Linked DNA regions of Yarrowia lipolytica. The protein of the gene in region 4 interacts with the protein of the main gene of each other region in a pairwise test. Links are inferred from orthologs where the notes say so. Each region holds a gene or a part of one and is shown on either strand. Other genes may lie near its edges. The genes, in order: YALI1_B11607g, YALI1_B09708g, YALI1_A18286g and YALI1_F20820g.

Region 1 (5,604 bases), on a different chromosome or scaffold from region 4:
GCGCCTCCCAGCTGCTGGTTGATCGCCAATATGGCTTGTAACTTCTTCAAAGGTGGAGTGCATGCAGGACTGAAATTAATTGGAAAATACGGCGGAAAATACTCCAGAAAAATACGCTGGCGGGCCAGAAAAACGATCCCTTGCTTGAACGGGCAATAATATCGACAATACGCGTCGAAAATCGACTGATTACTCTTCCCCTTCTGTCTCATGACCTGTTTTCCGGATTTTATGGCTCCACTGTGACGTCACCGCTTGCACTGGCACGTCGGTACATACAATGACCCCCCAGATTGCACCAAGCAAACGACTTTATTCTACACCATAGACCCTGGAACCCCCGCCAACGCCCCGTGACGGCTGGGTCATGTGGCATGTGCTAGTTCCATCTCTGTCACCTTGGGCTGGCCCGCTTCGCGGGGATGCATGGATCAGCGGTCGCATCTACATGGGCCGTGGTCGCAAAAAGAAACGACTTGAGCCAGGTGGAGGATGAAAAGAGGGTACGACGAGAGTTTGAATGAGGGTTAGTGGACCATGGCTGTCTCTTGGCTGTTTTTTGTGGCAGGCATCATGGGCTGGCTGATTATATAAGATCGTCGTGCTGTCTGATAACACCGCCGGGCAGTTGTCTAATTACAGTAATTAGGTGCATGGCACACGATCCACAGTTGATGATTAGGAGCTACTACATTGTAGTGGCCACGATCATAGCCCACCATCTATAGATGGCACTATTACTCCTTTTGGAAGGTGGATGATGGGTAGACGTTGAGCTGTCGATAAATGACTCGTCGCAAAAGATCAGCTTGTAATAGCAGGTTGTAGGACAATTGCCACGCAACGGCAACAACCCAATACGCCTTATCTAGCACGCCTGAAGCCTGCATTCAAGCCGTTCAGTGCTTTAGCTAGAGTACGATACTGAAGGTTGCACTGGGCCTCCCAAGTTGGGGCTGCAAACCGTAGTTACAGTACATACAATAGATGTAATGGATTCCACCTCTATTATAGTGATAGGATTGAGACAGGGCATGTCGTCAAGAACACAATGTGACATTAACAAGGCGCCGGTCACACCCAAACGGCCAACGGCCTACTATCACATGTTTGTTGAGCACTGTTGAGCGTCTCCCCGCTCCTCCCCCGCTCTACGCAAGTAGCGTGCAAGTGCAAGCGCAAGCACAAGTATATGCATCTCGCGGACGTGTGATAAAGTGACTGAATGACCGAAGCTTTGTGTGTCATGTGTCTGTCGAGTCTGTGACAGGCAGGTAGGGCTGAAGGAGATGACGTGCCTAAGGGCTGTGATTCGCCCGAGCGAGCAGCTGCATTCTGGGTCTCGTATCCGCTGGGAGAAACGCTCGCATTCCGACGCCGCCGATGAGCTCTACAGACTCACATTCTCAAGCTCAAACGCTCGGGGGAACACTCAAAAGTGAGACCTTGATCCAGTGACTGAGACTGTATGTAGGTGAGAAGAGAGACTGCGGGACTGATGGGCGTGTGTACGGTGCCAGTTAGGTTGGGCACTTTAAAGTAGGTTTGCCAAATTAGGCTCTCTCAATTTTTCGGTTTCCCGCTTTTTCTTTTCCCTCTGGCCCGTAACCCCCTTTAATTACATGTGCATTTTAGGGGGCTTGTCGCTGCACTCTCCCAGATAATATTATTACGGAATGCGAAAATCGCATGATGTTGGATAAGTGAGCATCGGGAAGCAGCAAATCTCCAGTTGGCGGACGACCTGTACGAGCCGTCGTGTACCAGCTCAGGTACAGTTCTTTGCGGTGGCGTTGTTTGGGCATATATACATATATACAGTGTGCTTTCAGGTACCTGGGTGAGGCACACGAGAGGGGCTAATGGCTTATAGTGTGGCAAAATGTCAGATTCAAGACCGACTATCAACGTGGATGTGCATGGCTCAAAACCCTCGTTACGGCACATTTCCCCCGGGGTAAAGAGACCGCCAAAACACGATGCAGCCACAAGGCGAATCTCGCTGCGCGGGATACGTGCTCCAGGCCGTCCCGGTGCATTGTTTTGGTCCTTGTGGTGCTGGGTGTTTGCCTATTTTTGCCCATATTCGTCTCTTTTTGCGTATTTTGGTATTTTGTACATTCACCGGTGAAATATTTTTTATTTTTTTCTTACTCGAGCCTCAGGGAGCCGATATTATTTGGCCATGACGATCTGCAGAGTGCTGCCGTCAGTGTTAAATTGACGGTGGGAGATTGGCAAAAAAGGAAAAAGACAAGCGGGCGAACAAAAGGCCCTGAAATTGCCAAAAAAAAAAAAAAAATTGAGCCAAAAAAAAAAAAAGGGGGAGAAGGCCCGTCGATACGCACAAGGAAATGACAATATCAACGGGGGGAGGGCTCTTGTACATAGACGAGAGACCGACAAAAAACGGCAGGAAACAGGCGGAATCAATTCGGGGACACTCGAACCCCCTTGGTGATCTCCCGTGGTCCCGTTTCCCCGGGCCCCTAGCCCTTCCACACCCGGCCTAAAGGTCTAGCGTGCTGCTCAAGACCGGTTTCACATCCCAACGGTCGTCTCTCCATGTACCATGCACTCTGGTCCACTGTACACGGGGAATCTGAGTTAGACTTCTCGCTTTTTTGAAAGGCCCTTGTCATACCCCCTAGACTTAGCGCCGATTAGCGTTTTCGGGTGCAAGACCCATGGGGGGCGACTACCACCTTCTTTTTGGTCATATATATGGAGACGACCGGTCGGAAGAGTGCGTGCAACAGATACCTCGACCCGAATCGACACAGACCCTCTCTCAGCATGCACAAACTCAACGCCCGACTCGGAAACCTCCGGCTGGAAGAGGTGATCGGAACTGGAGCCTATGGCACCGTCTACAGAGCCACTGACATTTACTCGAGCAAACGATACGCAGTCAAGGTGGTTGGCAAGCGCTCGCAACTGAACGACTGCCGCGGCCAGGTCATCAACGCCCACAAGCTGTCTCTCCAACAGGTTTCTCTGGCGGCCCTCAACCACAACGCATCCCACATCTACCGAGAAATCGCCCTCCATAACCATGTCCAGGTCCACCCCTACATTCTGTCGCTGTACGCCGTCTACGAGGCCAGCGACTGTCTCTACATTGTTCTGGAGCACTGCGAGGACGACCTCTTCACCGCTATTGTCGACCGGGGCATGTTCCAGACCTACGCCCCCAGTGCCAAGATCATCCTGCTCCAACTGCTCGAGGCCGTCCTCTACACCCACAACAAGGGCGTCTTCCACTGCGATCTTAAGCCAGAAAATATTCTCGTGGCCGAGGGAGGCACTTGCATTCGGCTGGCAGACTTTGGCCTGGCCTCACGATCCGGACAACAGGTGTCCCAGTGCGGTTCGTCCTTCTACATGTCTCCCGAGCGACAGACCAAGCGCCACAGCTCCTTGTCCGTGCAGCAGATCAATGCCGGAAACGCTGCCGCCGATATCTGGAGCCTGGGAGTTATTGCCATCAATCTCTTTTGTGGCAGAAACCCCTGGAAACGGGCCCACGTCTCGGACGAGGCCTACCGCCAGTACCTCAAGGACCCGTCGTTCCTGCAGCAGATCCTGCCTGTTAGCGATGAGTTTGCCGGCATTCTCAACCGCATCTTCACCGCCGATGTCAAGTCGAGAATCAGCCTCACCCAGCTCCGAGAACAGATCAAGAACTGCGACATGTTTGTACTTGGACAGGACACTGAGGAGAGGCCTGCAACCTCTGCCATTCCTACATACACCAAGGCGCCTATTCCTCCCACGTCTCCCGTGTCTCTGCTCCCTGCTCCTTCTCTCAAATCAAACCTGTCACCTCTCAGTCACACCTCCAGTGTATCGCCTCTCAGCCACACGTCGTCCATCTTCTCGACGCCCTACACTCCCGACGTATCCCCAACGGCCGTGTCGGATCGAGGCGTCAAGCGTCGACGCAGCGAGGAGAACGAGCCGTTCCACTTTTCGCTCAACCATACCAGCGACGTGGACCGGTTCGACTTTGGCATGAGCGACCCCCGAGCCCGACTGTTCGCCTAAACCAACGGACCAACTAATTGCATATCCCCCCACCCAAAATGCTCTACTAACAAATCAGCTAATGTACATATTTATAGATAATGATAATGACTAACCGTATGAACGAGGCAGTAGCGGACGATATCTGTACTTGAACGATAGTAGGAGTCCATCTCGGCTCATGGCTTGCTACTCTTTACGAGCCGTTAGCTCCATCGATCGGTGGAATAGTGGGCCTCGTCCAACAAGAGACTTCCACACCTTGTCGTATCGTATTAAGGAGACCGATATATGCCGATCTTATCGAACAAGAACCGGTACGTACATACTGTACAGCAGTACAAGCACTCTAGAGTCTCGGATCCTGGTCAAAATAAAGAGACACACGGTGAGAAATTAATTCCCGAATATCCCGGAATACGCAATACGACCACAATCGACGACTCTGGCAATATTAAATCGTCTTTAGGACTCATTCCGAACGCCGTATCGCATGTCCCAAGATGGGATATACTCGGAACCGTACGGGAGACTCTACTCGTGGTTGGCCAAAGTCATTTCTCGTCTACCTTTGGCTAGTGGGAAAAATTTGCAACTCCGGGGAGACGAGGGTGTGCGATGGAGTGGAGGGGTATCAAACGGCTCTCTTATTGGTGTCTTGGGTCGTCTCTGTCTTGTTCGGTACGTGATGCGCTATGATCATACCGGTAGGGCCGGTAGGGTACGCACAGTACTCGTACTGTTACCGAAGACCGTTATTCATGCATTGTGCAAGTATCAATCTCGAGTACAAGCACGTTTTTCCCAACAATGCTACGCTCTTCCCTCCTATCCACCTACTTGTACCTCCTCCCTGTCCATCGTCCATCTCCCTCCTCATGTCATGCCTCCATCTCCCGCACGCCGAGACGTGAGTCGCGCCGACTCTGAAACATGTCCCGTAGCTCGTCGTATGGATGCCCATCCATATGTTCCACATGGCCCTGTTACAAGTCATGGTGGCACGCTGTACGGATCCCATGATGTCACAGCTTCACATGTCCACGCTGTAAGCTCGCCAATCCCCCGCTTCTCTTCGGGGTGTGAAAAAAGTGGCCTGTTGCCGGGGAAATAATCTAAACGAGAAGGATGCAACCACAGTGAGACAAGTGAGACAAATGAGTGTCAGTGGCCGGTCCCGAGAGTTAGACTTGAGACATGAACGGTGCAAACGTAGTCAGCGTCCCCGAGGTGGCATCTGACAGGGGTAGCCCGGTCTCTGTGCTCCAAACAAACACAATCACACTTAGGCAGGGACACTGAGACAGCTGTATAGTGGGCGGCTGTCGTGTAGCGGGACCGGAGCTGTCTTGTATCAGATTCACGAGCTACTTGTTTCACGTTCACCCCAGACCAGAGACATGGCAGCTACTGCAGTTACGTCACACCTGGGCGTCATTGGGAGCAGCACCATCACAGCTACTTTACTAACTGCGGACACTAAGCCTGTGGCTAATACCCGTACTTGTACCCAAAATGCGCCCGCACACACGCGAACGCCGAGCACTTCCATGACTGTATCTGTGTCCCTATCTAGAC
Region 2 (6,642 bases), on a different chromosome or scaffold from region 4:
CTAACTCGAGATTGAGAAACGATGGATAAATGGAGAGTTGAAAACCTCACAATGATTAGTTTCATATTATAATTGTGGAAATATATCTTTTGAAATCACGTGATTTGTAAAAGTTGTGCACGTTAATGAACATTGACGGAAAACTATAGAAAATGTGTCTAGAATGACGATTATTTGTTCAGTTGAAATGGAGGAGTTTGTAGAAAGATGTAAATGACTGGCGAGTGTTATTTTAATAATTAAATTTCAAAATCGGGCTGTTTTTCAACCATTTAGCTCTGGTTTATTATCTGCCAGAGTTCATATAGTAAATGCCAATGTCCGAACGCAAAGGGGAGCTGTGAGGATACATAAAGTGGGGAATGAATAAATAACGGAACATCTCATCAGATATGAATATTTTTTTGTAAGTTTTTCTGGTGAAGAATCTCTCTTTCACCCTCTTATATACTATCTCACCCTCTGACGTCTACAGCCATCATAGTATAGTGGTTAGTACACCACGTTGTGGAGATTGTGTCATCACAACAAGACCGTGGAAACCTCAGTTCGATTCTGGGTGATGGCAGAACCCCGAGTTCTCTTTTTTGTTTTCGTCTGTCGTCTCTCTCTCCGTCTGGTTGGTATCAATGCGTTTATGTTACTAAGATAACGGCAAATATTCTGTTGAATCTGAAGAGAAGTTGAAAAGATATACGACAGACATTTTATAAGAGTCGCAAGGAACACAACACCGTTTCAATGTTTCCAATAACTTGGATATTCCTTCTTTTGTATACATTTCTGGCGAACAGGGAGTGTGAAATTGTGGACGATTGCGGGAGAGTTGGGGAGGAACTTGGAAGGAATGATCCGTGGAGCTGGGTACTTATGATCAATTTCCTTGAGTATCTTCGAATCTGTCATGTGCTGACTTGAAGAGGTTCAAACTAATCTCATTTGAACATCGGTATACGACAGTACTGAAATGTACCGTATGGTATATATTAGTCCTCATTACTGGCGACAGAACCGCTATCACTCAAGAAATGATGACTAAAGCAGGTTAAATATCTTTTTATGAAAGAATCTCTTTGATCAGATATATATTGACTGAACTAGTGGCGTTTTGTTCCGTGCTCTGGGTATCTACATCGGATCACCAGTTGGGGAGGATATCGACATTGCAAAACCAACCGATTGATTTTACTAACTTGATTTACTAACTTGATGACGCTTACTAAGTCGATTTGAGAAGAGATCAACATGGTCTGAGCAATATTGATGGAGTTGGATACAGAATCAGAATCCGAAACATCTCTGGTGATAAATAGTGATATAGAGACCACGCTTCACGAGAACCACACTAGAGCTTTGTAGAGAGATTGTTCGTACCCAGCGACTTGAAACACTTCACAATGATTATTCATAACGGTATCTATTCTAATATATATGATATGCTTCAGTTCTCCCTGGTTACAGTACCGGTTGCAATACTTCACGAGTATTTACGTACCAACAGACCCACCATCCTCACCCCCTCCTTCAAAAACAGTACTATTGTTGAGGTGTGATATTCTTCTTGTCATAGGAGAGCCTTGACGACTCAACTACTACAGCTTGTCCATGTCTCCCAGGACGTGCACGGTAACATGCTCGTGCTTCGAACAACCTCGAATTCACATTCGCGAACCCACGCTCGCGCACGTTTCTCTCACTCGCGCCAGTAACTCGTGCCCATCTCCTTCGCGCACGCTAGTGAGAAATGTATTGGAACACAAAACTCACCTCGTCAAACTCCTCCTCCTGCCGCAGCAACAGATCCTCAATCTTCCCCATGGTTCCCTTGTAGTAATGGTTCCACGTGGTGGCGTCTCCATACAGCATGGCAGGAGCCCTCTGGTACTGCTTCCCTCCACGGCATCGTTTACACTCATACATATCGTGGGTGTTGCAAGGGGTGGCGTCATCGTACGAAAACAGCTCCCGCAAGTTGGACATGGAATAGTGCCGCTCCACGTCCTGCACCTCGTCAACCACACAGGTCGACAGGGACTGCTTCATGGACTGCCGCTGGAAAATCTTCTCCTCAATCGTGCCAGTAGCAATCAGACGGTAGACGAAACAGTCCTTCTTCTGGCCATCTCTCCATACTCGAGCGAGAGCCTGCTGATCTGCGGCAGGGTTCCAATCTGGATCCATCAAAATCAGACGGTTAGCTCCAATTAGATTCAAACCGCAACCTCCGGCCTTGGAAGAGAGCAGGAAAATGAACTCTTGGCCCTCGGGGTCGTTGAATTGAGTCACCAACTTGGCTCGTTTGTTGATGTTCATGGTTCCATCAAGACGAAGACACCCATACCGTCTCTGACGACACATTTTTTCAATCAAATCGAGAGTGGCCGTGTAATTTGAAATGATGACAATCTTGTCGTTGGTTTCAGCATTGATTGACCGCAACATCCGCTCGAGAATGAGAAACTTGGCGGAGAAATGCGGATAAATGTCGCGATCACGCGACCCTCGTTCGTCTGGCGGCGCATAATCGTCTGGAAACACCTTTCTGCATCCCTCAATTTCGTCCGGCAGCTTCAGCAGATCTGGATGATTGCACAGCTTTTTGAGGATACCAATGGCATTCAAAGTGGTGGTTCCTTCACTGCTCTTTTCACCCTTCAACAAAGATCTGGCCTCCTTGGACGTTCGAAATTGCACATAGAGCGACTTTTGGAACGGTGCGAGATTGCAGAAGACAACATGTTCGTATTTGACTGGCAGATACTTGCTCAGAATGTCGTTGGTACGTCTGATGATAAGAGGAGAGACAATAGAGGCCATTTCCAGCAGTTTCGCCTCGGCCTTCTCCACATCTTTATCCGTACCATCGGCATCTCTGCCCTTGAGAATGGGAATCTCGTAGTTCTTTCGAAACTCGCCTTTGGTGCCTAGCAGGCCAGGATTGGAAAAGTTCAGCAGCGAAAAGTACTCCAAAAGATCGTTCTGGATCGGAGTACCTGAGAGAATGACTCGACGCTTCACATTGAGCTGATTGAGCGCGGTAAATGTCTGAGAATCGCCATTTTTCAGTTTATGACCCTCGTCAGCAAGTAAAAGACCCACCTCAGAGTCGGCAATGGCACCCACCTGGCGTCGTAGTGTATCATATGAGATGATGAGCACCGGTCGTGTGACTTTGCGGCCCTCAGCCTCGGCCCACTGTCTCAGACCAGCCGTCAACTCAGCCGGTTTCTGAGACCCATCCACGGCATAAGGAACAACGACTCCCTCCCCGAGCCACTTGACAAACTCGGCGGCCCAGTTTCGCACCAGAGAACTGGGGCAAACTACAATGGCCTTGGAAATCGTGCCCTTGCCCTGGGGACTCTGTTTCAGCAACGTCCACAACAGCGCAATGCACTGAAGAGTCTTGCCCAGACCCATTTCGTCAGCCATGATGCACCCATGGGCCTTGGGGTTGATGAGGCCGGTGGTGGCGCGGTACAGAAATTTGACTCCTTCGACCTGGTGTGGTCTGAGGATTTTGGCGAGCTTGGGATCAATTACAACTGGCACTTCCGGATACTCTTTGGGCTTTTGTTTATCTCTGGGGGAGATTCCGAGGATTTCTGCGAGCGTGAGTTTCTTGGGTATTGTTCTCATCTCCTCCACCGTCTCCACATCTGTCTCCGACTGCGACAGGGTCATTTCGGTGGCGGTCTGGATATCCTCTTCGGTGACGGCATCTTTTACTCCGTCGACGGTAGGGTCGTACAGAACAATAGCAAACTCTCCCGCGGGGTCGTGCAGCGGTCGGGGCACAAAATCCACCGGTTTGCGCATCCCCAGCGCCGGAAAAGATTCCACAAAGTCGTCATTTCGGTTTTTGAACGGCACTCGGAAGTTTTGGTTCAGGACCGCCAATGGATCACGGCGAACGACAGCACCTCCGCCACGTTTCTCGGGGTCGTCAGATCGGTACACTGGCGCATCCGGATCGCCTTCCGTGTAGTTGACGGCCGTTCTGGCGCGTCTGGACGGCTGCCAGTTGGAGTTGTAGCTGGAGCCAGACGACGGCGCCGGGCGCTTGAACGGCTTATGTAATACATCCATGGGGTCCCTGGGGCGTTCTGCCGGCAATCCGTGCTCGCGAATCTGACTGGGAGCCTTGTTTCGTCTCATTTTGTAGTTGGGTGGCAACGGTGGAGAAGTAGAGAGTGTTGTGTGGATCAGGATACATATTTGACGCGCAAGGTTTGGGTAAATTAACAGACGCGTGGGACGCGGGGGACGCGACGGACGCGACGGACGCGATTTTGCGTGATTACTGTGATGTTAGCGATGAAAACGGACTGTGAACGTGATTCAACAAAACTTGGTTGTACAAGGATTTACGTAAGTCGTCAAATAGTAGTTTTTAAACGGCACGAAACCGTGACCCCTAAACCCAAGCAAAACACCTTACAAAAACGCTCCAAAAACACCAATATCGGTCACATTAGAAATATAAAAGAGTCAATGACTTCTCCAACGGGCTCAAAACAGGTTATTCCATACAAAATTCTTGGTATCTTGCCTCCATCGTCCTCATTTTCATTCCATCAGAACGTACAGTTGTGTCTGTATGTACGTATGGGCACTGAACTGAAATTGAGCCTCATTTGGAACAGAAAATTGTCACAGATTTGTGTGTAAAACGTCATCCAGTTATGAGAAGTATTTTGAACTTTTCCGATTCCTCTCAGATTTCCTCTCCGATGTATACAACATGATTTGTGGTGCAGTTTGCCATGTTAATTGATATTCCACCTTTGCCACACTCACCAACTAATTCTAAGTAAATGAGGTTGATATTAGAACGACATTACATGACCCCTAAACTATCCTTAACTATATCTAAGTAAATCTAGCACCTTGGAGAGATGGAATAATTCAAACCTGAGCATTGTAGTACAGTGAGTCAACATTCTATTTGGATTCATTTATATCTACAACGCATTCTAGCGGATTTCCTCAACTAATCTCCCGTATTCAGTTGTCTTGTAGATAGGCAGAAACCAATGAATAAAAAGGGTGATTCTGGTTGAGTACATCAAAACATAGAATTCTACGAGTAGGACCCGTATCCTATGTTTCTTTCATCAAAACATAGAATCCTACAAGTAGGAACCGTATCCTACTTGTTTTTCAACTGGAAAATGTCCAAGCAGTCAGTAGACAATCACGTCTCTGTTTGGGGTCTGGCAAGGGAAAGTCATCTAGTCTGGGTATAGGAAGATGGGACGATAGGAAGAAGCAAACGGCGAAGTTTCTTGGCCAATTGAGACAAGCAGAATCAGGTTTACGGAGTTGAAATAGTGAAATATAACGACTCAATGACGCACTTGTATCTGAGACTGTTACGGATATGCGGTACTCGTACTTAAACAAGTGACGGAATGATGAATATACTTATTAATATCCCCTTTTGACTGTTCAGCGAATCCTTTATAGCATGGTCTATTTATCTTGGTTCAAACTGTTTGATATAAGATATGATCTTCTCATAATGATCTGTCGTAGATGATGGTTGCACACTGAGAGGTCTGTTGACTGAGGAAAGGTCTTGAGCAGACATCTGACGGACGCTCAGCATAACCCAAGACATTGTTTTCCTCGACAGCGTTTTCCTCGACAGCGTTTTCCTCGACAGCGTTTCCCTCGACAGCGTTCCTCCTCACATCTTGACAAGCACCCCGTTGTCTACATCCGAAATGCCAAAGTCGTGCATGTGTGTTGCATCTGCGAGCACGTTAAATGTACAAGCATGTACGTATCATGCAGCAACATCTAACTGCAAGTACTGTAGCTACTTGAAGAATGACTTGATTTTGTGCCACCTTCTTCTTCTCTTACACAAACCACCAAAATCAAAGAAAACAGAAGAAAAAAACACAATACACGACCACTAACACACAGATAAACCTACACCACAAACAGGTGGACACACGCGGCGCACCGCACACCCGGATCACGACCGTGCCGGCTACACTTTGCATTTTACACAAAACGGAAGCAGGATACCACGACGAGGGCTCTGTACGGACTCTGACTCAAGTGTCGATGTGGAAGGGAGAACCGCACTGGCGGAGTCGACGTGTACCATGCGAAGCTGTATTAGTCATCACGAGCCGCAAGACTGTGGGTGGTGTGGTGTTGCATTGTGCCACCGAAATGGTTCTGTCTATCTGTCGCGCCATTTGTGGCTGTCAACAATCAGCCTCTCCGTAGCTCCACCATATTGACTATAAAATGACACTTCGTTTCATCGACAACCTCAATTCCCCCTCCATCACAGTGAGTATGCACTCATGATAACCACCACGACTCCTCTCACGACACATATCGTCATTCGAGTTCATATACTAACCCCAGTCTATCACCTACATCCACACACGCTACGTCCAGCTCAGCTACCATAAAAATACAATTCCATCAATAATACTTGTGGGGTTGCAGCGATTTGACGCTCTTTGCCGCCACGTGACGGAAAGTGCGGTAATCCTTGTCCTTGGGATTGAACTCCGCACATGCCGTGACGCAATCCAGCTCGGCCTCCCGGAGGCCCGCCTCCAACGTCTCGCGTCCTCGCGCCACCTGCTCGGAAATGTCAGGAATCGAAAACAC
Region 3 (6,033 bases), on a different chromosome or scaffold from region 4:
ACGTCGAGCCGGGTGATCTCGCCGGGACCCTCGACAATCTTGTTGTCCTTGTCAGAGGTGATAAACACAACCCACTTGCCCTGATGGAGAGCAGGGAAGTAGGGTGCGTAGGTGTGAGGCAGCAGAGGAGCGTTGCTGTTGGTGATTGTGGGCTCCTTGAGCACCTCGATAGGCTCGTCGAGATGCAGATCATGCTTGAGCTTGGCGGTATCAATGTTGAGAGGTCGCTTGGTGCCAAATGGCCGCACCCGGATTCGTAGAACAAGATGGGCAGCAGACTGGGGGGTCACCACGTCTTCACCAGGCACCTTGAAGTAGGCATCCACAATATCAATCTTGGGCACAGCGTTGGCGGTGTTCTTGACCGATGTAATATCAGATTTGTCGACGCCCAGAATCTCCTTGAATTGGGCATCCTTGAAGCCCAGGATGGAGCCGGTACCGTAGCCCTTGGCATTCTTGGTCACCTGCTCGTAGTCCACGTGAGGGAGCTGCAGCATCTCTCCAAGAGGAAGATGGTCGAGAGAAACGGCCTGAACCATGGCTCGCTGAACCTCAATAATTCGCTGAACCACCTCCAGAGGCTTGAACTCGATGGCAATGTCGGCAAAGCCATCCAGCAGCTTGGGGGCCAAAGCAGCCACGCCCAGCATAGCGGCGGGCTTGGAAGAAGCCTTTCTGTGGAGGTAGTCGTCTAGAAGCTCGTAGACCTGCTTGCTGGTGAGCTCGGGGAAGTTGATTCGGTACTCCTCGGCCTCGGACACGGCCTCCAGGATTCGCTTGTGAGTGATGTAGTCTGGCTGCTCCTTGGCCATGATGGAGAAGAACCGGGCTGCGGTCTTGTTGTGGATTCCACGACGAGTGTAGGACTTGACTCCGGTCCACCACTTGCCAATGGTGTAGGGGAGGATGACTCCCACGACAATGGCGTAGACACCAATGAGCAAGGGAGAGCCCTGGCCCTCCACGAGCCACTTGGGCAGAGCAATACCGTGGTCGGTCTGCTGGGGGCCGTCAGGATGGCCAAACTCCAGAAAGTTGTTTCGGGTGACTTCGTCTGTCAGCGCCTTGTAGGCCTTTGTGATCTGGACCCACGCGTCCTCCACCTGCTCCATGGTCTGGTTAGCCACCAGCTTGATCTTGTCGGGATGCAGCTTGACCGACAGCTTTTTGTAGTGGCTCTTGATTTGCTTCTCTGTGGCCGAGAAGGACACGCCCAGAATCTCGTACGGATCAAACGTGTCGGCCTTGACCTTGACCTCCTGTTGTGAAATGAACACCAGCGCTCCAATCAGAGCCGCCCACCCCGCAACCAGAGCCACGTTGCGCTTGGACAGCAGCTTTCCGCGCCGTTGCTTGCTCTGGAACGAGTCAATGTCCGCCGCATGGGGGGGACGGAATGGTGTCACGCCCTCGGGAAGAGTCGCCTGGGTCTTGGGGGGACACAGAACCGGATAGACGGCACTGAGAGTCCAGGGGACTAGCACCAGTGAGCCCAACGTGACCGCAAAGTATGGCCACACGTCCGACTCTTCGTCATAAGAGTACGAAGGCATTTTTGAGTCTGTGTTGTGGAAAGAACCAAAGATGTGTGATGTACAGTCTGTAGATGACAACTGTGGTTGGGAGTGTGACGTGTAGTTAAAGTAAGGTTTGGCAAAGTAGATACAGTAGGTGGAGGAGGAGTAGAAATGGCGAACAGACTGGAGTAATTTTATGGGAATAGGCGGTGTTGTTGTTTTTTTGGTCATGTGTATTGTCACGTGACTTGATTTCACGTGACTGTTTGTTTCTGAGGCTCCCTCCTTCCCCCTTATACTGTGGTCAATCGCACACTACTTTTCAAGGGTAAGGGTTGCATTGTAGATCAAGAACAGGGTGGAATAAAAATATAAAATATAAAAAAGTGTGAATTTATATAGTTCAGTTTATTATTCATTGTAGCTCAGATGGACATGGAGCTGGGGACAGAAGGCGAAAACACGAGTTCCTGAGAATCAATTGTGACATGACCGGGTCTGGGAAGTCGTGTGACCAAATGTATAACACATTACGGCCGCACTTGTAGACCAGGTGCCCCACATCTCCACGCCGTTCCGTCCTCCTCGTCCTCCTCTTCTTCATCCTGCTTGCAATGGCGGCGCGCGCGTATGTATGTATGTACTGTACTGTACTGTACTGTACTTGTAGATGGGCAAGTTTTTGCTGTCTGAAGAAAAGACGAGAGCAGGACGAATTTGCGAGTCATGCAGCGGGGATGGAATACGACGAAACAGTCCTAACCTGTGTTTTTGACGTAGGAATCACATCTCATAAGGTGTTTTTCCAGCGTGATTGATTGACTTTTCCGAGGAGGTTTGAATTTGGATTAGTACGAGTATGTGAGTGTGTATAGGGAGAGTGATGGAGACCTGGAGAGCGAACTTTTCCAGGGTTATATGGTATCTTATTGTTTGAAATGGCCAACTTATTCTCCTTATGAGTTTTTTATTGGAACCGGATCAACTTTGACGGAGTTTGTCCAGTCTTGATAGTGGGTGTATAGTACAGTGTGAACCCTACAACTGTATGTAGGTTTGTACTGTATTTACATTTACTATGGTTGACGTATGGCTATATAATGAAGTCTTCGAGTTATACCACCCATTTGGTATTCTCTTCAATTAATTCAGAGCAGGACATTTATCAGCTCGTCGCGTTATCAGCCATATTTCAACTTGCATTCTTTTCTTTTTTCACGCTTTTTTCTCGCTTTTTTCTCGCTTTTTTCTCGCTTTTTTCTCTCTCGACTTTTTTGTTTTTCTTTTTATTTATTTTTATTTATTTTTCTTTTTCTGGTTAACCCTGACAATATTTCAACTACGAGTTTAAATCTAGTGGAGACTGAAACTGAAACTGATCTTTTACTTGGGGAAATGTTTGTTTTTGGGCGTGAAAATTGATACCCTTGATATTCAAGCGTCAAATAGCTGAATTATTATCCCTCTTTTGACTCTAGACACGTCCCACTGCTTCTACAAGGACATTTGGCGCAGGTCTCGATTCTCATGCACAAGCAAAAACTACACTTTTTTAAATTGGCGTGCATTTTCATTTTCGTTTCACCAGTACCACCACAAACAATGAGTTATCGAGGACGCGGACGAGGCCGAGGCGGCTACAACAATAGCGGCGGCCGCGACAACAACAACAACAGCAACAACAGCAATCTGACGGACATTGAGGTCCGAGGGTGGACGAACGCGCCTAAGGACGATCTTGTACGGTTTCTCCAGGACAAGGGCGGGTTCCGGTTGCAGAACCCGTACGTGGATGGCGACGTGATCAAGGCCCGAGTCAAAAACACGGACGCCCGTGCGATTGGACAATGGTCCGGGCGCCGGTTTGCAGGCCAGGCTCTGCAAATCACAGTCAAAGATGGACCCTCGGCTGCTGCGCAGTCCACGATCGAAACGCTCAAACGGTTCCTTGAAAGCAGATACAGCGCCGAGGACAAGCTGCTGAACCTTGCAGGCATGGGCCAGGACCAGTATCTGATTGAGAATGGCCTTTTGGCCACCACTGAGCGAGGATCAAAGATGTTTCTGGCGCTGCTCAAGATTGCAGGCGACACCTACCCCGTGGTGGACTCGGTGGATCTGGGCCACAACAGCATCAGCGACATTGCCGGCATCACGACGCTGTCTCAGACGTATCCGGAGCTTAAGAATCTGTCGCTAGCCAACAACCAGATTGCCCGCATCACCGACCTCGAGTCGTGGAGACACAAGTTCAAGTCGCTGCGAGAATTGGTCCTTGTGGGCAACCCCATCACCAACCAACCCGACTACCAGCAGCAGGTGGCGCAGCTGTTCCCCAGGCTCATTGTTCTGGACAGCCATGTGATTCGAGACGAGTCGCAGATTGGAAAAGTCAAGTACCCCATCCCTCTACGGCAAACGTTTTTTGAAAATGACAACATCCAGCAAATGGTCGGCGGCTTTCTCGCCAACTACTTCCAGCTCTACGACACAGACCGACAGCAGCTGTTGCAGCTGTACGACCCACAATCGACTTTCTCGGTCGCCATCTGCTCAAACACACCCCGAACAATGGTCAAGGGTCTCGGTCAGCCTCCCTGGGGCCAATACATTCCGCTGTCACGAAACATGACCAAGGTGACCACAGCCTCGGCTCGAACCAACCGACTCTATGTGGGTCCTGAACAGATTGGAAGAGCCTTTACTCGCCTGCCTAAGACGAAACACGATCTCGGAGACCCCTCAAAGTTTGCCATTGACGCATGGACTCTCAATGGTGTGCGAGAGCCGCAAGACACAGCCATTTTTGCGTCTGTGCACGGCGAGTACGAGGAAAACATTATTGGCAACAAGAGCGACACCCGGTCGTTCGACAGAACGTTTGTGCTTCTCCCTGGCCCCAACGGAAGTATGATCATCGCCTCCGATACTCTCATGGTCAGATCCTACGCCGGAAAAGACGGATGGACCAGTGCAGCCATGACTGGAGCAACTGGTGGAGCTCCTGGGGACGACTTTGCCGGTCTCAACCCCGATCAGGCTCTCATTGTCAGACAGCTCATGGAAGCCACCCGTCTAAATGCAAGGTACGCGCGAATGTGTGCTGAGCAGGCCGGATTTGTTCCGGAACAGACCATGGCATTGTTCAAACAGGCCCAGGAGGGAGGCTCGTTGCCCCCAGATGCGTTTATGTCTTAACCGGGGCCCAACCGTACAGGAGACAGGAGGCATTCGTGTGTGCATTATGAGACAGCAAACAGAGTACCGTATGTATTACCGCATACACTACGCTCTCACAAGCATGTAGTTAATTTGAAATGAATGAGCATATCCTGCCAAACATGTAAAAGTAATTTATTGATCAATTGAAACAATCTTTGGTGTGAACATGTGTGAGTAGTTGTAGATAGGCAAGTGAAGCGATCCTAGACACATTTTTATGTGGTCACGTGACCTAATTTGGATTCTGGATCAAGGATTATCTCTACAAGTACTGTACTTGTAGTATGTTTCATTTGGCTCCGTTGTACTCGATTAGTTCAACTTTTTGTATAGAAAGTTGTAAATATATATACACCAAAATGATGCTTGTGCTGAGAGCCACACAATTGTGTATCTATATTTCCATTCTGAGCAATTTTCTTTCGTCTACTTGTAGATGATTTGTGACCCTGGTCTTACAGTGTTCAAGGGTCACAATCTACAATCCGTATATTAGAATAAATACACACTTTGGTGTGTTATAAATATTGTATGAGAGAGTTTCATGGGAGGAGCAGGTACTCATACTCGTACTGTGGATACTCTGGATAGGTGCTTACATCTCCTCGTATCATGTGCGTACAGAAGGGGTTCCAATGCCTGGCAAGTTCTGCTCAGCTTCTGCTAGCCAGCTTCTGTTCAACCAGCCAGCTTCCGCTCACTTTTTTTGTTCGCTAACACCCTTCCCTAACCAACTTTCTCAACAGATTCACCTCCAACTCAATCTCTCTTCTAATCTCCGCATTCTCCACCTGCATGGCATCCACCTGCTGATTCCTCTCGAAATATCCTGGTTGCAAATCTCGATGCAAATTGATATTTCGAACCGTCTTTTCCCATGCCAGTTGCCGCACCACATCCAGACAAGATCCCAGGCCTTTTCTGTACTCCGACACAAGCTGTAATGTCTCTGAGTTGGTTTTTGTCTGCTGAGCCACCTGGGTCCTCAAAAACGCGTTTTTCGACAGCTGTGAGTCGAGCAAGGCGTCCGAGTCGCCGGTCGACGGCAAATACTCGTCGCTGTCGCTGTCATTGGTCGCTTCAACCTCCTCCATGACATCTGAAAGCGTGTACTTGTCGGCCTGTCGAATCAACTTCTCCACCACCTCTTCGTTGTCCTTGAGCGCAATCTGAAGCTGACTAAGCATGGTGTGCAGCTGCATCAGGTCCTCAGTTTGCGGCAGGTAAAGCTGCGTCATTTGTTGTTCTTGTATGCCGTTCATGTTTGTTGTGTGTGAATGTGTGGAGGTGA
Region 4 (5,309 bases):
GGTGGGTAAGGTGCGGAACTTCTCAGAGACAATCCGTTCATAAGATCTGAATGACAATATAAGTTGTGGAATCGAAAGAGTAATATGCAATTGAGACTGTCGTAGCTAACTGATATATAACATCATCATTGTCATTGTCCATACTGCACAGCTGGCTATGTACAAGTACATACACACAGTGTACTGTTGCATCTTCTACTGGGCTATTAATGACCATATGACCATACGGATATGGTAGATTGTAGTTCAAAAATAGTTTTCAGTTGTACTTAGTAACCATATATTGTCAAATTCCGAGTAATTCACCATTAATCACTGGGGATAGCCGTTCTTCAAGACAGTACCAAACGTCGCTGTGATTTGGTCTAGACCTTCACAATCTCGGTATCTTAAAAAATTCAAATTGCACTTGATATTAAATCCATTGCTATCTACAATGTACAATTCCCCTATGATCAAAACTGGAGCGGTTTTTTCATATATAACATTACAGTGTTTTTTTTAACTTGTAATTTTTTTTTTACTTGTTTTTTTTAACTTGTATTTTTTTTTTTACTTGTTTTTTTTTTATTTTTTTTTTGTTCTAGGGAATACTCTACAACTTCTCGAGGCCTATAAACAATGGTATACCAGCACATCGGTTTCAGATTCAACTGTTCTGAAGAGCACATGACCCTCGTGTTCGCTTGTCCACCTGTTCTTCCAGTTCCATATCGAAATACGGCGTTTTTTTCGGTGTGATGCTCCAAATTCGAGATCAAATACCGGTGTCCTACCCGGGACACATCGAGGGCGTCTGGTGTAGTTGGTTATCACATGCGCTTAGCATGCGCGAGGTCCCCGGTTCGATTCCGGTGTCGTCCATTCTTTTTTGCTTCTCTCGTGATATATTGTTTCTCTACTGGTTCCTGGGCTGTCTTCACCCTGGCGTTATGATCTGCTGACTCAGCGGTCGACTCTCGTTTAGTTTAGGCTGTGTGATGTAGTAGTCCTTATTGCGACGAATTTTGCAGTGTTGAGATAATATTTTCCATAATATCAAATAATTGGAGATCAAAGATCCCTTCTTCCTTTCCATGAACTCTTACCGAGTTGGTTGTAAGCACGATGTTCGCAGAGACCATTCCCGTCGACTCAGGTAATCAAAATGGGACCATGATGTGGTCGAGATGCTCGCTACAGTCTCGAAATGATTAAATAAAATGGGTCTCACTATTTACTGCAACCATTGCTTTCCCTCGCCTACTCCTCATCCTTGGGGTCTCCGATTCCATCCTCATGAATAGCAAAGACACACTCGCTTTCTGGCAGACAGGGCGAGTCGTAGATCTTGCAGATTCGCTGCACTCCTCGGCCCTTCTTGAAGTAGAGCCGGGTGGTGGACGCATGAGCCACAATGTTTCCTCCAATGGGCTTCTTGGGGTCCGGGTTGAACACAGCTCCATCCACCTGGGCAACCACCTGGTTGGTGATCACCACTGCGATGCCAAACTCATCGGCAAGGCGTTGCAGGGTTCGCATGAACTTGGCCACGTGGGTCTGACGGGCAGACAGCTCTCCTCGTCCTGCGTAATCTGTTCGGTAGAGCGCCATGATGGAGTCGACAATGAGACACGAGAACCGCGACTTGGTCATCATGTTGGCCGCCATTTGCAGCAGCTGCATCTGATGGTCCGAGTTGTGGGCTCGGGCGTATGCCACGTTGTCCAGCACCTCGTCTCCGTTGAGTCCGTATCGCCGGGCAATCTGGTGCAGACGTTCGGGACGGAAAGTGCCCTCTGTGTCAATGTACAGACACTTCCCCTCGCCTCCTCCCTGATCGATGGGAAGCTGACAGGTGACGGCCAGAGTGTGGCACAGCTGCGATTTTCCCGTTCGGAACTCACCAAACATCTCTGTGATGGCTCCGGTCTCGATACCGCCTCCCAGTAGAGTATCCAGTTGCGACGAGCCTGTGGTTAGTGTGATGAGTCCAGAACGGGTCTGGTGCACGTCTGAGGCGGTGGTGAATCCCAAGGGCACCAGTTTGGACGCCTCTGATAGCAGCTTGTCGGCCTTGGCCTCACTGATGCCCTTGATGGTCAGCAGGTGTTTTTTGGGCGTGTACGCCACACTCTCCACTGTGTAGAGTCCAAACTCGCCCAGGCGGTTGATATCCGTCTGGGTGATTCCGTTGACGGCCAGGCGCTCGATGGGGATGGCGCCCGCTCGTTCGATTTCTTCGTCGGCCATTTGAGGGTGTGTTTTGCGAATGTCGCGGCAAGATCCCCAAAAAAAAAAAAAGACGTGTTGTGTCTTGACTAGAAAGGAAGTCTAATTTACTGAAAGTGGTGGCGCGTGCGTTTTCGTGTTGCAAAGTATATTGGGTGGCGTCAAAACAGAGCATTCGGACGGCATCCAAAAACGTCAAATAACGGGATAGAAAAAGCTGACTAATCACATAGCTGCCAGTAGGGGTATCCTGAGTCTCCTTGAAGCGGATTTCCGCCCATCCCCACCTTTAGAGGCTTACAATCGAGTCTGGCCCGTGGAGAACCGCGGTTTACGTCGTCGTTATTAAGCTGTACGTCGACGTGCACATTTTATGCATGGGGTGGATCAGGCACCGCTGAACCGAGAATTACGTTTCTCACGCTGAGATTCCCTGAAGGAGATCATCTCCCACAATGTCATATCTACGACGGAGACGATATCCGCGACAGGGGAATCATGCGACGAGGCTTCCTATACCACTGATTCGGAACCGCGAGGGGCTGGAAAGAGGGTGAGAGAATATAAGAATCTTACTGGCAGACGACACATTCCCAGCGACAGGAGACGCTCTCGGAAACGTCCGTACTCGGTTCACGAAATGGACGAATGGTTCCCCGAAGCTGCCTGCTAAATCAACATTCCTGGTGCTCGCAATGCCGCAGGCGACAAGGAAGTTTTAAGACACCTCAATAAAACAGGTTATCACGCCCAAGCCCTTATGAGAATGAGCAAAACGCTTGACGATATCAAGGGCTGCAGTTTTCCATACCTCGATTACATGATCAGGACCAAGAGTTTTTCTGAAGTGGTCAGCAATGCCCAACTTGATAAACCCTTCGCAAAACGGATTGGTTGTGTGTGTATGGACCGAATCTTGGAAGTTCAGCACGGTTACAGGTCCATCTATAAAATGACAGGAGAGATGCCATTGGATTTTTGGTTTACCAGGGTACTACAAGACTCTCAGTTCGGGCTCATCCAGTTCAAGACTCACTCGAAGATACGGAGGCTGTGTTGAAATCTTGGGCTACGTTTGGAATGCCTTGTGATATTCCAATTCTACAATGCTGATAATACTTGGTGATACTGAACTTCGACAATGTCAACTGGGTGGTAGTCACTGGGTGGTAGTCAAATCAACTGGGTGGTATGGTCATCTGGGCGAAAAGCAGCCTGTGACTGCAAAAAGGGTGGACCAACATATACGGTAATGATGTGAGGTATTCAGACGGATCCAACAAGGTCACACCGACAATTTATGGCAATAGGCATTGTCCTAGGTGGTCTTCATCGTTCCATCACTCCCCCACAACGAGAATGCTCCTCGGGGTCCTGCTGAACGTGTGAGGCAGAAGTCAAGAAGGAGTGCAGGGAGCAGTCATAGAGGGTTCTGGAGCTTCAGGCTGAGCTCAATGAGCTTGACAAGCTTAGATATCAGCCCCACAAGGCCGCCCCGAGTGGTTCGACAATGAAGCAGGATAGTTACAGGTACACAAAGGACTAAATTCCAGATCCAAGGCAGAGCAAGTGTACCCGGCTGCAAGGATAAATGGTAAGCTGGAGAAACTAAAGTATGCCAGGCTCAGTGAGTGTAGATCAGAGCGTCCCATCCAGAGTGAGGTTGTTGAGCCTTCTGGGGGTCGGCGTACTTTGTTCAGCAGCGAGCTTCTTGTTCCATTGAGCAACAAGGGGGCAGGGCAGAAACTGTGAGGGTGCTAGAATCCTCACTTGCTGAACAGGAGTTTGCCATTGCTGAAATCAAATATGAGAGACTGTCATCCATCAGAAAACCCACCTGGTATCCTCAGCCAACTTCTCGATCCTCAAAGTGTCGAGATTCTGCAGAGCGAATTGAAGCGGCAGACAATTATTCTGATCTCGATAAATCTCAGAAAGAGCTAGCAGCCAACCGGAGCAAGCTGAAATCCTGCGAGATCGATCATGCAGGGATTGACGAGCTAAGGGCTCAGGGAGGTCACCAAGATGCCATTGGAGCGAATGCGACTGTTTGCATTTGATCATTTGGATACCCCGAGCCTCATGGGTCCGGATCGCACCATGAAGTTCCGATACTATCAGCAGAGTAGTGATTGGATGGAGCTCGCACCACCGCAATGGGGTTTCTCATGATGGACTTCACAAAAGATTTCCTCCACCAACAGAGCTGCCATTCTGATAAACAATGTTCAGTTTCACCATTGAGTCTGGTTTTTGCTGGTCGAACCCTGGCTTGAATGTGAAAGATCTAATGACATTGTTCTTGACTCCGAACTCACGCAGCCTCAGCACGAGTTTTCCAGCCTGACACCATTGGTTACATTGCCCAAGTTCAATTGCCTGTTCAAATCATGTCACGATATGCCTGCCGATGTGATTGCCAACTACTTCGGGCACCAGTTCGTCAAACCGACCGCAAACATCCAAAGACGGAAGGGTCAGGTTCCCCCTCTAGGTGTCAATCCTGTGCAACAGAACCTGCAAGCAAACGAAGGATACAGCCGGGGCATGTTCTGGGCTGCCATTGAGGTTCCAGTCGTGTATGATGATGGTGAGCCCCTTCGTTATGGTAGACGCTATACCGTGAGGGTAGGAGGTTTCGATCGTCTACTTCTCCCCGTAGAACCAAAGACACAGAGCGTAAACTGAGTCCAAGAGACGACAGCGACCAGTTGTGAGCGCAGCGCAAGGCACCGCATATAACTACTACTAAACGAAAACGCGTTGATAACAGCGTGGTAGAGCTCAATGCTGATCCAGAGGATGAAAGATCTGTTGACCTTCAACCTCAGTCCCAGCTGCTGCGAGATCCAATAGATGTTGCTGAGATCCTGTCGAAAGTACACTGACGTCGAGGTGCCGTGCTCTTGTCGGCGACACCAATGTTCCTGACTTGCCCATGTCATCGGAATCTCAGACGACCTCTGATGTCGATGTCTCAGTCGCGCCATTGGAGGAAAAGACGGTAATCCCAACTGTCTATTTCTTATCCCTCCCTGGAAGACGATATGGCCTCAAACATACCCAGCAAAATACCCAGCAAGAAGCTCTGACCCGAC

The links.
Region 1: the proteins of YALI1_F20820g (region 4) and YALI1_B11607g interact in a two-hybrid assay, tested with the Schizosaccharomyces pombe proteins (2 studies listed by BioGRID). The link is inferred for Yarrowia lipolytica from reciprocal best matches to the Schizosaccharomyces pombe genes rad51 and pat1.
Region 2: the proteins of YALI1_F20820g (region 4) and YALI1_B09708g interact in binary tests that used the Schizosaccharomyces pombe proteins (3 or more experiments, as listed by UniProt). The link is inferred for Yarrowia lipolytica from reciprocal best matches to the Schizosaccharomyces pombe genes rad51 and rad54.
Region 3: the proteins of YALI1_F20820g (region 4) and YALI1_A18286g interact in a two-hybrid assay, tested with the Schizosaccharomyces pombe proteins (2 studies listed by BioGRID). The link is inferred for Yarrowia lipolytica from reciprocal best matches to the Schizosaccharomyces pombe genes rad51 and mex67.

What each region holds. Positions count from the first base shown.
Region 1 is NC_090771.1:1,158,026-1,163,629, forward strand, and holds YALI1_B11607g (uncharacterized protein), read left to right. Parts: upstream 1-2,724; coding exon 2,725-4,047; downstream 4,048-5,604. Other genes in the region: YALI1_B11588g (uncharacterized protein), read right to left, coding at 689-868, 926-1,060; YALI1_B11593g (uncharacterized protein), read right to left, coding at 1,103-1,298, 1,363-1,370; YALI1_B11625g (uncharacterized protein), read left to right, coding at 4,520-5,140. UniProt on the Schizosaccharomyces pombe protein: This protein is a negative regulator of both sexual conjugation and meiosis. It phosphorylates mei2. It blocks the onset of meiosis until conjugation takes place.
Region 2 is NC_090771.1:966,741-973,382, forward strand, and holds YALI1_B09708g (uncharacterized protein), read right to left. Parts: upstream 4,159-6,642; coding exon 1,735-4,158; downstream 1-1,734. Other genes in the region: YALI1_B09807g (uncharacterized protein), read right to left, coding at 6,451-6,642. UniProt on the Schizosaccharomyces pombe protein: Plays an essential role in homologous recombination (HR) which is a major pathway for repairing DNA double-strand breaks (DSBs), single-stranded DNA (ssDNA) gaps, and stalled or collapsed replication forks.
Region 3 is NC_090770.1:1,825,545-1,831,577, forward strand, and holds YALI1_A18286g (uncharacterized protein), read left to right. Parts: upstream 1-3,047; coding exon 3,048-4,718; downstream 4,719-6,033. Other genes in the region: YALI1_A18273g (uncharacterized protein), read right to left, coding at 1-1,751; YALI1_A18315g (uncharacterized protein), read right to left, coding at 5,456-6,004. UniProt on the Schizosaccharomyces pombe protein: Involved in the export of mRNA from the nucleus to the cytoplasm.
Region 4 is NC_090775.1:2,079,831-2,085,139, forward strand, and holds YALI1_F20820g (uncharacterized protein), read right to left. Parts: upstream 2,233-5,309; coding exon 1,243-2,232; downstream 1-1,242. Other genes in the region: YALI1_F20831g (uncharacterized protein), read left to right, coding at 3,318-3,428, 3,482-3,592. UniProt on the Schizosaccharomyces pombe protein: Required both for recombination and for the repair of DNA damage caused by X-rays. Binds to single and double-stranded DNA, in the presence of magnesium, and exhibits DNA-dependent ATPase activity.